Linked DNA regions of Tamandua tetradactyla. The protein of the gene in region 1 interacts with the protein of each later gene in a pairwise test. Links are inferred from orthologs where the notes say so. Each region holds a gene or a part of one and is shown in the gene's direction. Other genes may lie near its edges.

Region 1 (7,539 bases):
AGTCAGGGAGATGCCTGAGCAGAGGCAAGGCACGGGCTCGCGTGGCCTGTCCTGTGTAGGGAAATGTCTCTTCCATCATTCCCACCCTCCCACCCCCCAGACCTGAAGAATTTAGATCTTTGGCAAGTGGGCCTATAGAGGCCTTGAAATTTGTCCCAGATTAGGTAGGAGGCAAGATAAGGGACCATTGGTTTGGTTCTGACTGGGGCCCACCACCCGTGGTTGACAATACAGATGTGGATAGATGTGCCTCTCAGCTAAGGTGCCAACACATTTTCAGCCCCCAGATTCTTTTCCAGACTCATTCCCTCCCTATCTCTGTCTCCCAGCCTAGCCACTGCCCCTAGATCCGGGAGAGACGCTCTCCCTCCCCTCGCACCTTCCTCCCACCCTCCGGGCAGGCCTTGGCTTCTGTCTGGAGCTGGTGTGCTTGGGTCCTGGACTGGAGACACGTTTGGAGATTCGGTTTGGATTAAGAAAAGAGGAAAGGGTTCTCTGGGCAGCCTGTCTTCCTCCCCAAATCCCTTTTCCCAGAGAGTCAGAGTCCTGACTCTGATCCCCCCCCGTTCTTCAGCCCTAGTCTAGGGCAAAAACTGAGTGTCCTAGGGCCATAGCAGGGCTGAGGCTGCAGGAAAGGGCAGGAGGAGACGGTGTCCGAGCAGGGGAACGTTGGGGGCTGCTAATTTGTGGAGCACTGGGCATCCATGGCCATCCCAGAGATCTGAGTGGCAGGTGGATTTGAGGTTAGACTGCAGTGATTATGACAGAACCTCAGGCTTATGTATAAGGCTTAAAATTGTCAGGGTGTTTTGCTTTTCATTCTCTGTCCATGAGGTGTACTTCTTGCATGTTGCTGAGAGGACGGAAAGCTCAGAAGAAGCAATTTGGGAGCAGAGAGGAGAAAGGGATGTGGGGCTGGCCTCTTGGCATAATACCTCTTGCTCAGGTGGGACTGAAAGAGGAATGCTTCAAGTGAGCTGCTTGCTGTCAGGTCTGGAGAGGCTGGAAGCAGCTTCCTCGGAGGCAGGGAGATGGCCCAATTGACCTCTGAGGAGCGTGGCCTACATCACCCCTTCATTGTTGGTGAGAAGCGCTATCCTCTTTTCTGTCCCTTAAGCCCTCAAGACCCCTGTGAGGGAGCTGGTCTCTTAAGGAGATAGGCAAACTTCTGACATCCAAAGTTAGGACCAGACAGAACTGGGTTCAGAGACCCGGTCTGCTATTAGCTGGTGATCTTGGGTAGGACATTTCACCATCCCAACCCTCGGTGTCCTCACCTGTAAGTAGGGATCATATGCTCTACCACATGGAGTTATAGACAGGACTGAGACACTGACTCCCTGAAATAGCAGCTTTAGTCACTCGGGGAACTGACCTGTTTGTCCTCAGGAATCTGGAAGCATTCTGGGTGGGAGCCGGCGTGGGGCTGCCGTGCTCTGCAGCGGGTCAGCATAGCAGATGGAGCCCAGCGCCATGCAGCCGTCAGGGTGGACTTTGTCCTGAGCAGGGCTCCCTCCCGGACATGGACCCAGGGTGGGGGCCAGGGCCGGAGCCACCAAGAAACCACATCCTGCCCTCGAAGGCCTTGCACTGAGGAACACCAGGCCCTTCCTTAGTTGCAGCCTGCCCCAGGCAGACCCCTGCCTCGGTGTGTACGTGTACATGTGAGGGGGGAGAGAGAGCCAGAGATGCAGAGAAAGAGACAGGTAGATAGGAAGAGAGGGTGGGGGCACAGGGAGGTGTGGCCCTATGAGACCCTGAGTCCCTGTGTCTCTGTACGTGACCCTGTGTGGGCTAGTCTGCCTGGGGTGGGGTGGGGTTACTGCGTGGGAACCGTCCCAGCATGTGACTGGGAGCCTGATGTATGTGTGACCCTGTGTGTGATGCGGTGTCTACTGGAGGCTCTCTGTGTGTCAGCGTGTGTGTGAGTTGTCTCGGTGTGTGAATGGGTGTCTGACAGTATGTGTCCTTGTGTGCGAGGGAATATGCTTGTGACATGGTGTCCATGTGGCTGTTTGTATGCATGTGTGGGACAGTGTGGGCTGAGTGTGTCAGTCAAGAGGTGGGGGGGGGCAGCCTCTGAGCATGTGTCTGGCAGTCTGTGTGTGTCCGTGTGGGTGAGAGAGACAAGTTGTGTCAGCATCTTAGTTTCTAAGAGTGTGCTTGGCGGCATGTGCACCAGTGTGTGTGGCAGTGTATCTGTGTGAGAGCTTGTCTGCATGTGAGAGTGTGTGTGCCATTTTCCTTTTCCTGACCTCTGCTCAGATATCTAAAACCATTTTTTTTAAATGGGATGGAAGAGGCCGGGACCTGGCAGCCCCACCCCCTGGGGTGCAGGGCGCAGACCCTGCTGGAAGGCCTGTTTGGGCTCTGTGAGGTGGGCAGAGAGGAAGCAGGCTAGGGGCCCTGGGAGGAGATGCTGGGAAGCCTGCAGGGCTCAGCCAAAGTGGGAGGTCCCAAGAGTTTGTCTTTGGAACTGTCTTGCTCCCTTCCATTTCGCCTACCTCGGTGGCCTAGAGAGGTAGAAGTTTCTTTCCTCCTTCCCCTCAACCAGAACAGCTCTCAGAAAAGTAAAACTGTAGGAGGAATTTTTCAGGTTAGCAGCCAGTGTTAGGAGAGTGTTGTAAAGCTTCCACTCTGGCATCCTTCCCCTTCTCCTCTTCACTGCCCACTTGTGCAGAAACTGCTAATCCTGGAGATTTTCACTTACTTTATCTTTTTGGGTGCATGCAGTAATGCTCTGAAAATAATGACATGCCCATTTTGCAGATGGGGAAACTGAGGCCCCAAAATACAAAGTGTGCCCCATAGGTCACATTAACGGGCAGAGCAGGGATTTGAATGAAGGACATGTGCCTCTCTGTCCAGTGCTGTATACGCATACACTGCTCCACTCCCTCTTGGCTTCTTCTCTCTCCCCTGTTGCCTTCTCTTAAAGCTCCTGAGCCTGAGAGACGCTCCCTCCAGTCCAAGTCCCCGGTTGCCTTCATCTAACTCTGAGAAATCCCATGAAGCTGGCAAGTCCTGATTCTAAAATCTTCCAATCTGCTTCGGCCCTGGCCCCACAGGTCCCCACCCCGTCCCTGCTCTGTTCTCTGGGCCAGCTCTGCTGTCCTGGGAGGGACAGGGGGCCTCCACCATCATGCCTCCCCATCACCCAGTACCCCCAACCCCACCTCAAGGGAGGATGAAAGGGGGCCATAACTGGTGGATAGGGTCTTCTCTCTTCACCGTCTTGCCTACGGCCAGGGCCCTCCCACTCTACCTTGCCAGTGGCTGGGATCCCTGCTAGAAGAGATCACAAATGAGGCAGCATGATTGGTCCTTGGGCACAAAAAAAATTAGTTTTTTCCTTCTGAGAGTTTTTTGGTCTTAGAAGTGAGGGTGGAATGGGGTCCAGACTCCCCAGCAAGCCGGAGCAACCTGTTCCACTCTGCCCTCGCCTTAAACAGCAGATACCTTGAGAAAGGCTGCCACTGACAGCATTTTCCATGTGCGAGGGGCTGTTCTGTGCATCAGCTCACTTACCCTTCACAGCAGCCCTGTGGGGGTGGGACCAGTATTATCCCCATTTCACAGATGTGTTGGCTGAGACTGGAAGAAGTTAAAAGTCTTGCTCAAGGTCACAGCATATGGGGGAGCTGAGATCAGGCCCTGGGACCTGCTGGCACTGGGCAGCCCCCAGCCTCCCTCACCTGCATCTGACCTAGGTCCTGCTTGCCAGAGCCTCGATGCTCCCACCTCCGGACGTTCGCTGCATCCTCCTGCCCCCCCTCCACTCCCAACCCCCAGACTCCCCCAGGCTTGGAAAGCATTTGACCCTCACCCCCAGGGCTTGTCCATCCTGTGACCCTGCCTTGGGCCTGACACTGTCAAGGCTTCCAAAACCTCCAGTCAGCGGAGAGGCCAGAGGTCTGGGTAGCTCGTGCCAGGGGCCGGAGGCTGGGGGAGTCAATAAACAGTATTTGGCGGCTCTGAGCTGGTGCAGGGACAGGACACTGGCCCTCGGGGAGCCCCAGTATGAGGATGGTTTCATGCCCGCAGCTCTGCCAGGAACAGGGTGACAGGGCTGCCTCGGTCTTGATGCTCCCTGAGTGTGGGTGGCCTCCGCGGTGCCACCTCCCTCTCAAGCCATAGGAGGTCTGGTTCCCTGGACTTCCTTGCCCCGCCCCCTGCCCCAGCTCACCTTCTGTCCCAGTTCCCAGCAGTGACCTTGCTTCCAGCCTGCTTTCCTCAGTAGAAACAGAGATCGAGGGGAATTTCTGTCTGTCTCTCGGCCCTCCACCACCAACAGCTGCTGCTTTCAGGGGCAAGAAGGAGGAGACCTTCACCAGGACACAGAGGGGAGAGGAGAGGAGGAAAGGAAGGAGGCAGGGTTGATTGACCGGGACAGGCTCTTGTGAAAACCGTGTGGCCCCATCAGCTATGGCTAAAATCATAGCTCTGCCTTGAGTCCTTTGATTTTCCCCTGAATCAAATACACTTGATCTTTTCCTAGAAGAGTAGGCCCTACCATGGCCCTCGGCAAACTCGCTCCAAGGTCAGCTGGACACAAACTTGGCCTCCTCTTGGAGCTTCCTGTGCAGCTAGGGATGAGGACAGGAGAAATCCCACCCCGTGTTCTTTTTCCTTTTGTATTGCTGAGGGAGGCAGGAGGGATGGTGTCTCAGAAACCAGGAATCAGCTTCCACCAGGCAGGGTTACCCAGAGCACCCCAAGTCAAGGGTACAAACTTCTAAAAAGAAGCTATCTTCATTTCCACACACACGCAAATTTTTGTGATTTCAAAAAGTGATTGTTTTAAATGACATACAGGCCCTAAATGATATCTGTAAGTGCTCCCATGTTCACTTCAGCACCTGCAGCCTCTAAATGAGAAATATTTATGTTCTTTAAGGCTGTTCAGAAGAAAAGAAGAGACGAATTACAGTCCCAAGACATATCTTTGCCAAATGCAGAAAAATGTTCCGAAGGGACAATTCCTACTCTGCCGGGTTTGTTTGGGCTTGGGTGCTAAAAAGCCAATTCTTACCTTATCTGAGAAATGAGGCTCACATCCCCCTACCCACAGGCAGGGGAGCGCCTTCCATTGAGGCCTGCCCTCAGCGTTCTGGAACCTTTCTGACCCCTCTGCCCCTGGGCCCCAGGGCTCCTCCCTGTGCTTAATAGAAGCCAGGCTGAACATTTGATCTGTGCCGCTGTGCCAGGCAGGAACTCTGGAGGTCATGATGCCCTCTCAGGTGACAAGACTGCATTCTGCAGGAGGGGTGTTAAGGGTAGACTTTCCAGCCTCTGTAGCATAGATCCCACCACATCCCACAACCTCCAAATTCATAATTCTATCATATTCACCGATCTAGGGAACTCTGAGTCTTAGCTCCCTGTAGTGCTGTGTGACCTTGATTGAGTTCTTTCCAACTCTGGGCCTGTGCATCTCCTCTGCAATGGCTAAAAGTGCAGCAACCTCCCAGGCAGGCTGACTGGGCACTGGAAGAAAAGGAATTCATGCAATAGCAGAGCCCAGGGCCCTCAGGGAGTCTCTCTCCTAGCGGAGGTCTGCTGAGACCAGGAATAGACAGTCTCCCCTCGCTCTTTGCCCCTGCCCCAGAAACCATCAATTCAGTAGACACATGCTGGGTACCTACTACATATCAAGCTGTGTTCTGGTCCCCTGGGAGGAACAAAGATGTAAAAATATCTGCCTGGAGCTTCTGTGGAGGCAACTGGTTCTCTCCTTCCTTTCAGAGATGCCCCAAGTCTGGTCGACTTAGGGCTCTGAGGACCCCTGGAGATAAAGAAACCAAGTATTTGGGGTGAGGGTGGGGTGGATAAGGGAAGGGCAGGCTGGACACATAAGGCCCCATTTCTGCCCTTCCCCCAGGGTGCCACTGTGTCCCTCTCAGAGACAGTGCAGAAATGGAGAGAATACCGGCGCCAGTGCCAGCGCTTCCTGAGTGAGGCTCCACCCCCGGCCACAGGTGAGTCCAGGTGGGGACCCCCAACTCCTGAGAGGCTTTGAAACCCCCCAAGATTCATGGATGGTGTCATCTGTCTCTCTCGGATGCCATGCCTCTCTGAAAACCTTCCCCCATGCTTCCATTACTTTGTCCCACCTGTCCCCTCACCTGGAAATACCTTCCTGCCCCACATCAACCTACTGAAAAATGACAGGTCCGGCCCAAGGACTTACTTCCTACAGAAAAATTTCCCCAACGAATTTCTGTTGTCTTTTGGCTCTTACCCATTTGCCCTGTTGCCAGCTTTGGGAGTTGCTATCTTCTTCCCTCCCCTTCCCCCCCCCCCCCCCACCCATGCCCAGCTTTGTGTCCTCCTCAGCATTCCTAGCATGCGCTTATGTTCCCCCCTCATTTTGGAAGTGTTATTGAAAAATGGGTCCATAAGGATCATTTATCGAGCACTCCTTATGCTCAGATATCTGAGTAACATGCAACGTTTACCCCGCAAAGCCCCATGCAGCCCATTTTACAGATGAGGAAACAGAAAAATTCAAGGGCATGAAGGAACCTGCAAGAGGCCCCACCAGGTAGCGGCGGAGTCTGCCTGTTTGGCTCCTGCTGGGCCGCGAAGGTGCTTGGCATGCAGGAAAGCACTCGGCAGAGGTTCGCCCAGTGCAGGCTTCTGTCTTGTCCCCCAGCGGCCTCCGCCGTGGCAGTGGGGAGTGCCCCAGCCCGGCGGAAACTCACAGATGGCCCCCCTTCACCCAGGCCTGTTCTGCAACCGGACCTTCGATGACTACGCGTGCTGGCCCGACGGGCCTCCCGGCTCCTTCGTGAACGTCAGCTGCCCCTGGTACCTCCCCTGGGCCAGCAGCGGTGAGTCCCCCCCACACCCCACCTCTCTCCTGCATGCGGGAGGCTGGAGATGTGGGTCTGCTTCTTTTCCTGTGAGGCACCCCGTGACGTCTTCAGGCCTTCTGGGGGGGGTCTGCCTGCCTGTCCTTGGGGGGAGAAGGGAGGGCAGGCGGTGGGGGGATCAGGCCGGTCAGGACCTGTGCTGGTGGGTGTGTGGGCATGCGTGTGTGTGTGTGTGTGTGTGTGTGTGTGTGTCGGGGGGTGTCTGGAGGTTGCTGACCTAAGAGAGAATTATGGCCGTCCCTCCCGTCAAGTAGTCAAGGAAAGGGAACAGGTGGGGACAGATGCTTGGGAGGAAGGGCCCACGGGGATGTCCTTGCTCCAACGTGCACATGTGCCCGTGTGTCCGGCGTGTGCAGGATCTGCGTACATGGATGCTCGTACCTGGTGGAGGTGCCCAGCCACTCCGATGGGCGCAGCAGTCAGGTGATAATGAGGCCACCCCTCAGGCCCTCCCCACATCTGTCCTGCCTAGCAGCAGAGGCCAGAGATCCTGTGCTGGGAACGGTGTGGTTGCCAGGTGGGAGGTCTGATGGGGTACAGAGACCCCCAGAGGCTGCGGGGGGACCCCTGACTGGAGCGGCACTTGCTGTGCTCCCCAGAGCCCTGCCCGTCTACCCCAGGCTCTCATGCTGGACCCAGGCCCCGCCTGGCACCAAGGGGGTTC
Region 2 (7,127 bases), about 92 Mb from region 1:
AGGTGGTGGCCTTGGGGAAGGCAGGTATGTTTCTGTGATGTGGAGTTGTGAAACAAACTGGCCCAGAACTTAGGAAATTAAAAATAACAACCATTTTGTTTGCTGACAGTTCTGCAGTTCCGTGTGATTATGGAGATAGGCACTAGTGTACAGGCTCCAGTGTGGCCAAAGCTTCCAGATTTTTTCGAGAGCAGCAGGGCATTCCAAATTTTAAGTTAGCTCTTTTTCTCTCTTTTTTTTTTTTTTTGGTAAGAGTTTTATTGCGATTTAATTCATATACCATACAGCTCACCCACATAAAATTCTACAAAGCAATAGTTTTTAGTATATTTACAGAGTTGTGCCATCATCACCACAATCAATATTTTTTTAAGTTTATATCAACTTGATATATTTTTCCCATTAGGCTAGAAAATGTAAAGCTTCTTAATACTTCCTCTTGTTAAATTAAGTGAACACAAGTTCTTTCATACCCTCTCCTAAAGAGTATGTTTTCTTAATGCTATTTTTTTAATTGTGAAATATATATATAAAAAAGCAATAAATTTCCCAGCACATTTTCACAAGTAATCATAGGACAGATTTTAAAGTTTGGTATGGGTTAAAGGTCCATGATTTTTCTTTGTTCTTCTAGCTGCTCCAAGACACTGGAGACCAACAGAAATATCAGTATAATGATCAGCAGTCATACTCATTTGTTAAATCCTATCTATCTTTGTTATTCTCCTCCTCTTTATTTTAAATAACTTATATACATAAAAGCAATAAATTTTCAAAGTGTATCACAAAATAATTAGTTGTAGAACAGATTTCAGAGTTTGGTATGGGTTTACAATTCCGTAATTTTAGGCTTTTATTTCTAGCTGCTCAAAGGTACTGGAGGCTAAAAGAAGTGTCAGTATAATGATTCAGCACTCATACTCGTTTGTTAAACCCGACCTTCTCTGTATAACTCCGTCACCTTTGATCTTTCATTCCATGTGGAGAGAAAGTGGTATTTGGACTATACCCATTCTAACTTTTTCATGTTGGAAAGGGTTGACCGCAATCAATTTTAGAACATTTGCATTGTACCAAAAATGGAAGCAGTGACCTTCCTTCCCTCCACTCCCCCAACCCCAATTGTGAATCTGCTTATCTGTCCCTACAGATTTGCCTATTCTGGACATTTCATATAAATGGAACCATATAATATGGGGTCTTGCCTCACTTTCTTAAAGTACTACAACCAAAGTAAAATATTTCTGCATGCTGGACTTTTTCTTTTTTTTTGCAATCTCAAGATATCAGAATCTGCCACATACAGCCTTTTTGAGACCAAGTGCTGCCAGTATTCCTGGTACACATTCTGAACTCCTTGCTTTTTTGGGGGGTCGTGGGGGTGGGGGTGCCTGGTCCAGGAATCAAACCCGGGTCTCCCACATGGAAGGCAAGCATTCTACCACGGAACCACCCATGCACCCTCCTGCTTATTTTTTCACTGAGCATTATTCATACTTTACAAGTGAAATGATCAAATTGGGCTCGTTTGTGAACCAAAATGGCCCATCCGTATTGGGCAGTGTTTTGACATGAAGTCATCGCAGATGATCCAAATCTAATGGCTTTGCTTTCGTTCCATGTTTAGTGTTAATTTTATTCTGGCCTTTGCTGGAGTGAGTCAGTTCTGTTAGTCTAAGAACATAAAGTCAAAGGTTCGGTCTCATCTACCAGCTGCAGTGTGGAAGCAGTTAATTCATTACAACCCATTTATTGAAGTCTGAGTCCTGTCTCTTCCTAGATATGTGTCCCTGGTCAGAATATTGAGGAGTGTGCGTTGTCATTGGTGAAACCAGGATACTAATAAATGCCCTAAAACATCACAGGGAATCTCCAAATAATAATAATAATAATAAACAATAAAAGAGAAGGGTGAACGTAAGATGTTCTTCTTAGAACACTTTTCAACAGATGTTCATTCATTCATTTAGTTAATTCCACAGATATATACTATTTGCACCTTCTGTGCTAGATTTTGAGGGTATAGTGGTGGCAAACAAAACAATTTCCAAACACTGCTAGGTTTCATACTTGTTGGGGAAGACCAAGGTTAAGCAAATAGTTTCACAAAATAATTATAAATTATAATGAGTGGTGTGAAAAAAGTATAGGGAGCATTAAAGACGTGTGAAAGGGGAAATCTGCTCTAGTCTGGGAGGATCTGGGAAGTGGCGCTTAGCTGAGAACTGAAAAAATCATTAGCATTGAAGGATGGGGTGGGGGAGATCCCTGTTCTGGCATTCAATTATTCTCACATTAATTTTTTATTAAAACTATTGCCTGCTGTGTGCTGGCACTGTGGAAGGCATTAATCCATATGTCAGGCACTTAAAATAATACAAAAACTAGATAATAATGCTATTTCAAGCCTTATTGGCAGGATTACTTATCCAGATTACCAGTGGGGAAGCCCAGTTCTTTAGGTAATGGCTTCATCAGGGTCTTAGCAGGAGGTGAGGATGGAGAAAATAAAAGGGAAATGATGTTGTTCTCTCAGACTCCTTAAATCATTGCAGCTGCAGATGCCAATTTCTGAAGTCATGCTGGGGGTCATTTTGGGGTGACACTTTTTTTAAAAAAACTTTTTTTTATTCTATAGTATAACATATTTACATACCAAAGACAGAAAAAAGCAGTAATTTTGAGAGCACTCTTCAACAAGTGGTTACAAGACAGATCTCAATACCATCCGCTCAGATTTTTCCTTCTAGCTGCTCCAGAATATAGGAAGCTAGAAGGAATAAGTATTTTTTTTATCACAATTGCCTTTTTTTGATAGATAACATATATACAAAAAAGCAATACATTTCAAAGCACAGCAGCACAATTAATTGTAGAACATATTTTAGACTTTGACATGGGTGACAGTTTCACAATTTTAGGTTTTTACTTCTAGCTGAACTAAAATACTGGAGACTAAAGGAGATATCAATTTAATGATTCAGCATTCTTATTCATTTGTTAAATCCTATCTTCTCTGTGTAACTCCACCATCACCTGTGATCTTTCCATACCTCTCTTTGGGGTAGTTTGGGTTATGACCATTCAGAATTTTTCATGTTGGAAGGGGCTGTGGATAACATGGGGTAGGGAGATGGAAATAGCTGATGTTCTGGAGAGGCTGGTTCTCTAGGTTTCAGGACTTATCTGGTCCAGAGATCCATCTGGAGATTGTAAGTTTCTGTAATGTTATTGGGTGACACTCTTAAACTACATTTTTCCACATGCCAGCTACAGTCCGAGACTCCGGGAATATGGTGAAGAACCCACCTCCGTGTTCTTTACACTCCTGGGGAACACATACCTGCCAGCGGAGAGCCTGAACGACGGAATAAAGAGAAAAAATGCAATGGGTGTTATGGAATAAATAAAATTGGGTAATGCGAGGGAATAAAGTGGCAGTGTTTGAGCTGAGCGCCAGCCAGCGAGATGACGGGTGGTTTGGGGACAGTGTCTCCGCGATGGCCTGAAAAGCCTGGACCTTGGGGTCAGGGTCCTCGCCGGGCGAGTCTGCTCCCCGGGGGGCATCTGGCAGCGTCCCGGGACATTTCTGGTGGCCGCAACTGGGATCGGGGTGGAGCATCTTGTAGGAGGGAGGCCGGGGGTGCTTCGAACGCACTGGCCAGTGCCCTGCAACACACACGGACCAGACCCCAAACGTCAACAGTGCGGAGCTTGAGAAAATCCCTCCCAGGACGGCAAAAAGCCACCGAGGCTGGGTCAGCGGAAATTCGGGCGCTGTGCAGGCAGAGCCCCGAGGCCCTTGTACGGAGCTTGCTTTAGCTGCCCGTGGTGTCCACTGAGGACTTGAAGCGTCTGCGTGCCAGACTCGACGATCATCCCAAAACGCCGCCAGCGCCCTCGCGCCTTCAGCGCATCCAGACCGCGGAAGTAGAGCCGTGGATTTGTCGGTTTCCGGGGCGGGACTGAAAGTGTTCCGCTGGTGCGTGATGGCGACCAGACCCAATGGCGAATCGAGGCGGCCCGTTGCGGGGCGGGATATGGTGGGGACCCGGGCGGAACCGGAAGCCGCTCGGCGGGCTGAGAGACGGCGAGCGCGCCCAACGGCGACGCCGAGAGGCGGGCCACGGCGGCTGGCTGGGGAAGCCGGCGCGTGGGGCGGCAGCGGCGGCCGGACCATGGAGGACGTTGAGGGCTCTGGCGGCGAGCGGACTCCGCTGCTGGGCGCGGGCGGGCGCGGGGCGCGGCGGGCGGCCTCGGCATTTGCGGGCCGGCGCGCGGCTTGCGCTGCCGTGCTGCTGACGGAGCTGCTGGAGCGCGCCGCCTTCTACGGCGTCACGGCTGACCTGGTCCTGTTCCTGAACGGGGCGCCGCTGGGCTGGGAGGGCGCGCAGGCCAGCCAGGCCCTGCTGCTCTTCATGGGCGTCAGCTACCTCGTGTCGCCCTTCGGCGGCTGGCTGGCCGACGCGCTGCTCGGCAAGGCGCGCGCCATCCTGCTCAGCCTGGCGCTCTACCTGCTCGGCATGCTCGCCTTCCCGGGGCTGGCCACTCCCGCTGCGCGCACCGCCCTCTGCGGGCCCCTGCGCCCCGCGCTCCTGCTCAACTGCTCGGCGCCCGCCGGCACCCGCGCGGCCTGCCCGCCCGCCGCGCGCTATTGCGCGCCAACCACCTTCGCGGCGCTCGTGCTCGTGGGCCTCAGCGTGGGCACGGTAAAGGCCAACATCACGCCCTTCGGCGCCGACCAGGTGAGCGGCCCGCCGCGCGCGCCCCCGGCCCGCCACGCCCCCTGCCCTCCTGGTCCGCCACGCGCGCCCCCGGTCCGCTACGCCCCCTGTCCCCCGGTCCGCCGCGCGCGCCCCCAGCCCGCCACGCCCCCTGCCCCCCTGGTCCGCCACGCGCGACCCCACCCCGCCACGCCCCCTGCCCCCCTGGTCCGCCACGCGCGCCCCCGGCCCGCCATGTCCCCTGCCCACCCGGTCCCCTCCCCGAGCGACGCTCGTCCGCTGAATCCTCCGGGCCGGCGCCGCACCAGGCCCCCTGCTCACCAGGGGGCCGCAGTCTTGGCGGGAGAAAGCTCACGAAAGCGTGCGTGCAAGAATACTAGGAGGACGGGCTGTGGTCGAGCGGGGCAGGAGTCAACTCAGGGAGGGCTGGAGGATAGATGGGAGGGGGTTTCACTAGCCGGAAGGTCTCTCTGTGCAGGCGCCGTTGTTGGAAGAGCTCCCGGCACAGGGGGGTCCCTAAGTGCAAAACCCTGAGCCGGTGAGCAGAAAGGACTCCCCAGATATTGCCAGACATGAGCTGAGAAGAAGTGGGAAGAGAGAGGAGTGGTAGGCAGGGCTGGTGGCATAAGGCCTGGTTAAGAATTTGAGTATCTCATCTATTTCCTGTTTTTGTAGAACCCTGGAACAAGAATGGTTCTTATGTTTTTAAATGGTTGAAAAAGTCAAAAGACTATTTTGTGACGTGAAAATTATCTAAAATTCAGATTTCATTGTGTGTAAATGAAGTGTATTGGTACACAGTCCCACTCACTCCTGTCCACTATTGTCAACACTTTGGCTGCTCCCACGATACAGTGTTATCATTGACTACTTGTGAAGGAGACCACATCTTGCAAAATCGAAAATATTCACTTCTATCCCTTTACAAAAATGTTGGCTGGCATCTGGCAAAGAGAATAGGATTAAGGGAAGTGAAGAGAGCAGGGCTGCTGCAGAATGGAGGCCGTGCGGGGATGAGGGTGAGAAGTGGAGGTGGAGGGGCTGAGCTTGCTGGTGGGTTGAGTGTGAGCAATAGAAAAAAAAGCTCCCAGGTTTTTGCACTAAATAACTGTGTGATTGCCTGGCTCTGGCTGGCGTTCTAAGGCGTACTGTGTGCCAGGCCCTACTCAGGGCTTTATCATGCTGCCCGAGTTCTGAGGGTGTGCCCATTTACAGACCTGGAGACTGAGGCTGCAGGGGCTAAATAATTTGCCCAAAGCTGCCTGTTGGTAAGTGCCTGAGCTGGTGTTCAAAGGCCTGTCCTTTGAATCTGAGCTCTCCTCAGCCCGTGTATTTCCAGGGCAGACAGCAGGGAGAGACCTTCAAAGGGCATTCAGGTAATCCTTGCCTGACTATTGAATGTCCCCCTTGTTGTTTGCATGGGCTTTCCGTGCTTGATCTCATCTGACCTCAGTGGAATCTTCTCTCTGTTATATAGAAAAGGAAAAAGGCACAGGATATGAGAGAACTTTCTTGTCCTGTAGGTAGTGAGTGGTCAAGCTAGGGTTTCATTGGCCACTTCTGATATGTTAGTCTGTGGGGTAACCACTGCAACTGGAGGGGCAGATCTGTGGGCTCTGCAGACTCAGTTTGTGGCCCTGGCCCCAGGATGCCCTGTCTCCGGCTCCACTGGCAAGGGTGCAGCGCTGAGCGCTGCCAGTCTTCATCTTTTGACAGCGGAGCCGTGCCCCTGTCGTGTGCAGGAGGGGCTGTCTTAGGCCGCTCAGTGAGCCGAGTGTCCTCCCACAGTGTCTTATTTAAACCTCACAACACTTCGAACGCAGAAACTCTAGTTCCCCCTGTTACTGGAAGCGGAGGCTTCTAGAATTTGACTGCCCGGGGCCACGCAGTGGGGAGTGGGGAGTGGGTGTTGAACCAGGCCATCTGCCTTCAGGGTCAGTGCTGCTCCTAGAGGTGGGAGGTGAGAGGCCAGTGGTGACTTCTTCAGAGAAGGTAGAGGTGCTGGAGAGTGACTGCCAGCATCTGCATCCATTTGATGTGAAGTTTAATGTGTGTATTCACAATTGTCACAGCCTTACCAGGAAAAATGGACTACTCTGGATTAAAGATTCTAACGATTCTTGATGACCAAATGTGATATGTGGTCCATGACTTGCTCCCAGATTGACACAACAATTAAAGCCATATAAGACACTCTTGGGGGACGATTGGCATATTTTTAGCCTAGACCACAAAGGAGACAGTGGTGTATTTACGTTCAGCTCCACAGAGTGCTGATGGTGTTGGGATTGTGTGGAAGGAGGCCCTTATTTTTAGTAGAGACATGATGGAGTCTTTTAGAGTGAAATGTGATGAAGCTGCAATTTATTTTTTAAATGACTCAGTTGTAGAAAGCATTTTACA

The links. The genes of interacting proteins can lie anywhere in the genome.
Region 2: the proteins of GLP1R (region 1) and SLC15A4 interact in a protein complementation assay, tested with the Homo sapiens proteins (2 studies listed by BioGRID). The link is inferred for Tamandua tetradactyla from reciprocal best matches to the Homo sapiens genes GLP1R and SLC15A4.

Annotation. Positions count from the first base shown.
Region 1 is NC_135331.1:96,428,842-96,436,380, forward strand, and holds the start of GLP1R (glucagon-like peptide 1 receptor), read left to right. Parts: upstream 1-4,514; coding exon 4,515-4,540; intron 4,541-5,838; coding exon 5,839-5,978; intron 5,979-6,725; coding exon 6,726-6,833; intron 6,834-7,539.
Region 2 is NC_135331.1:4,090,658-4,097,784, forward strand, and holds the start of SLC15A4 (solute carrier family 15 member 4), read left to right. Parts: upstream 1-4,102; 5' UTR 4,103-4,178; coding exon 4,179-4,745; intron 4,746-7,127. UniProt on the Homo sapiens protein: Proton-coupled amino-acid transporter that mediates the transmembrane transport of L-histidine and some di- and tripeptides from inside the lysosome to the cytosol, and plays a key role in innate immune response.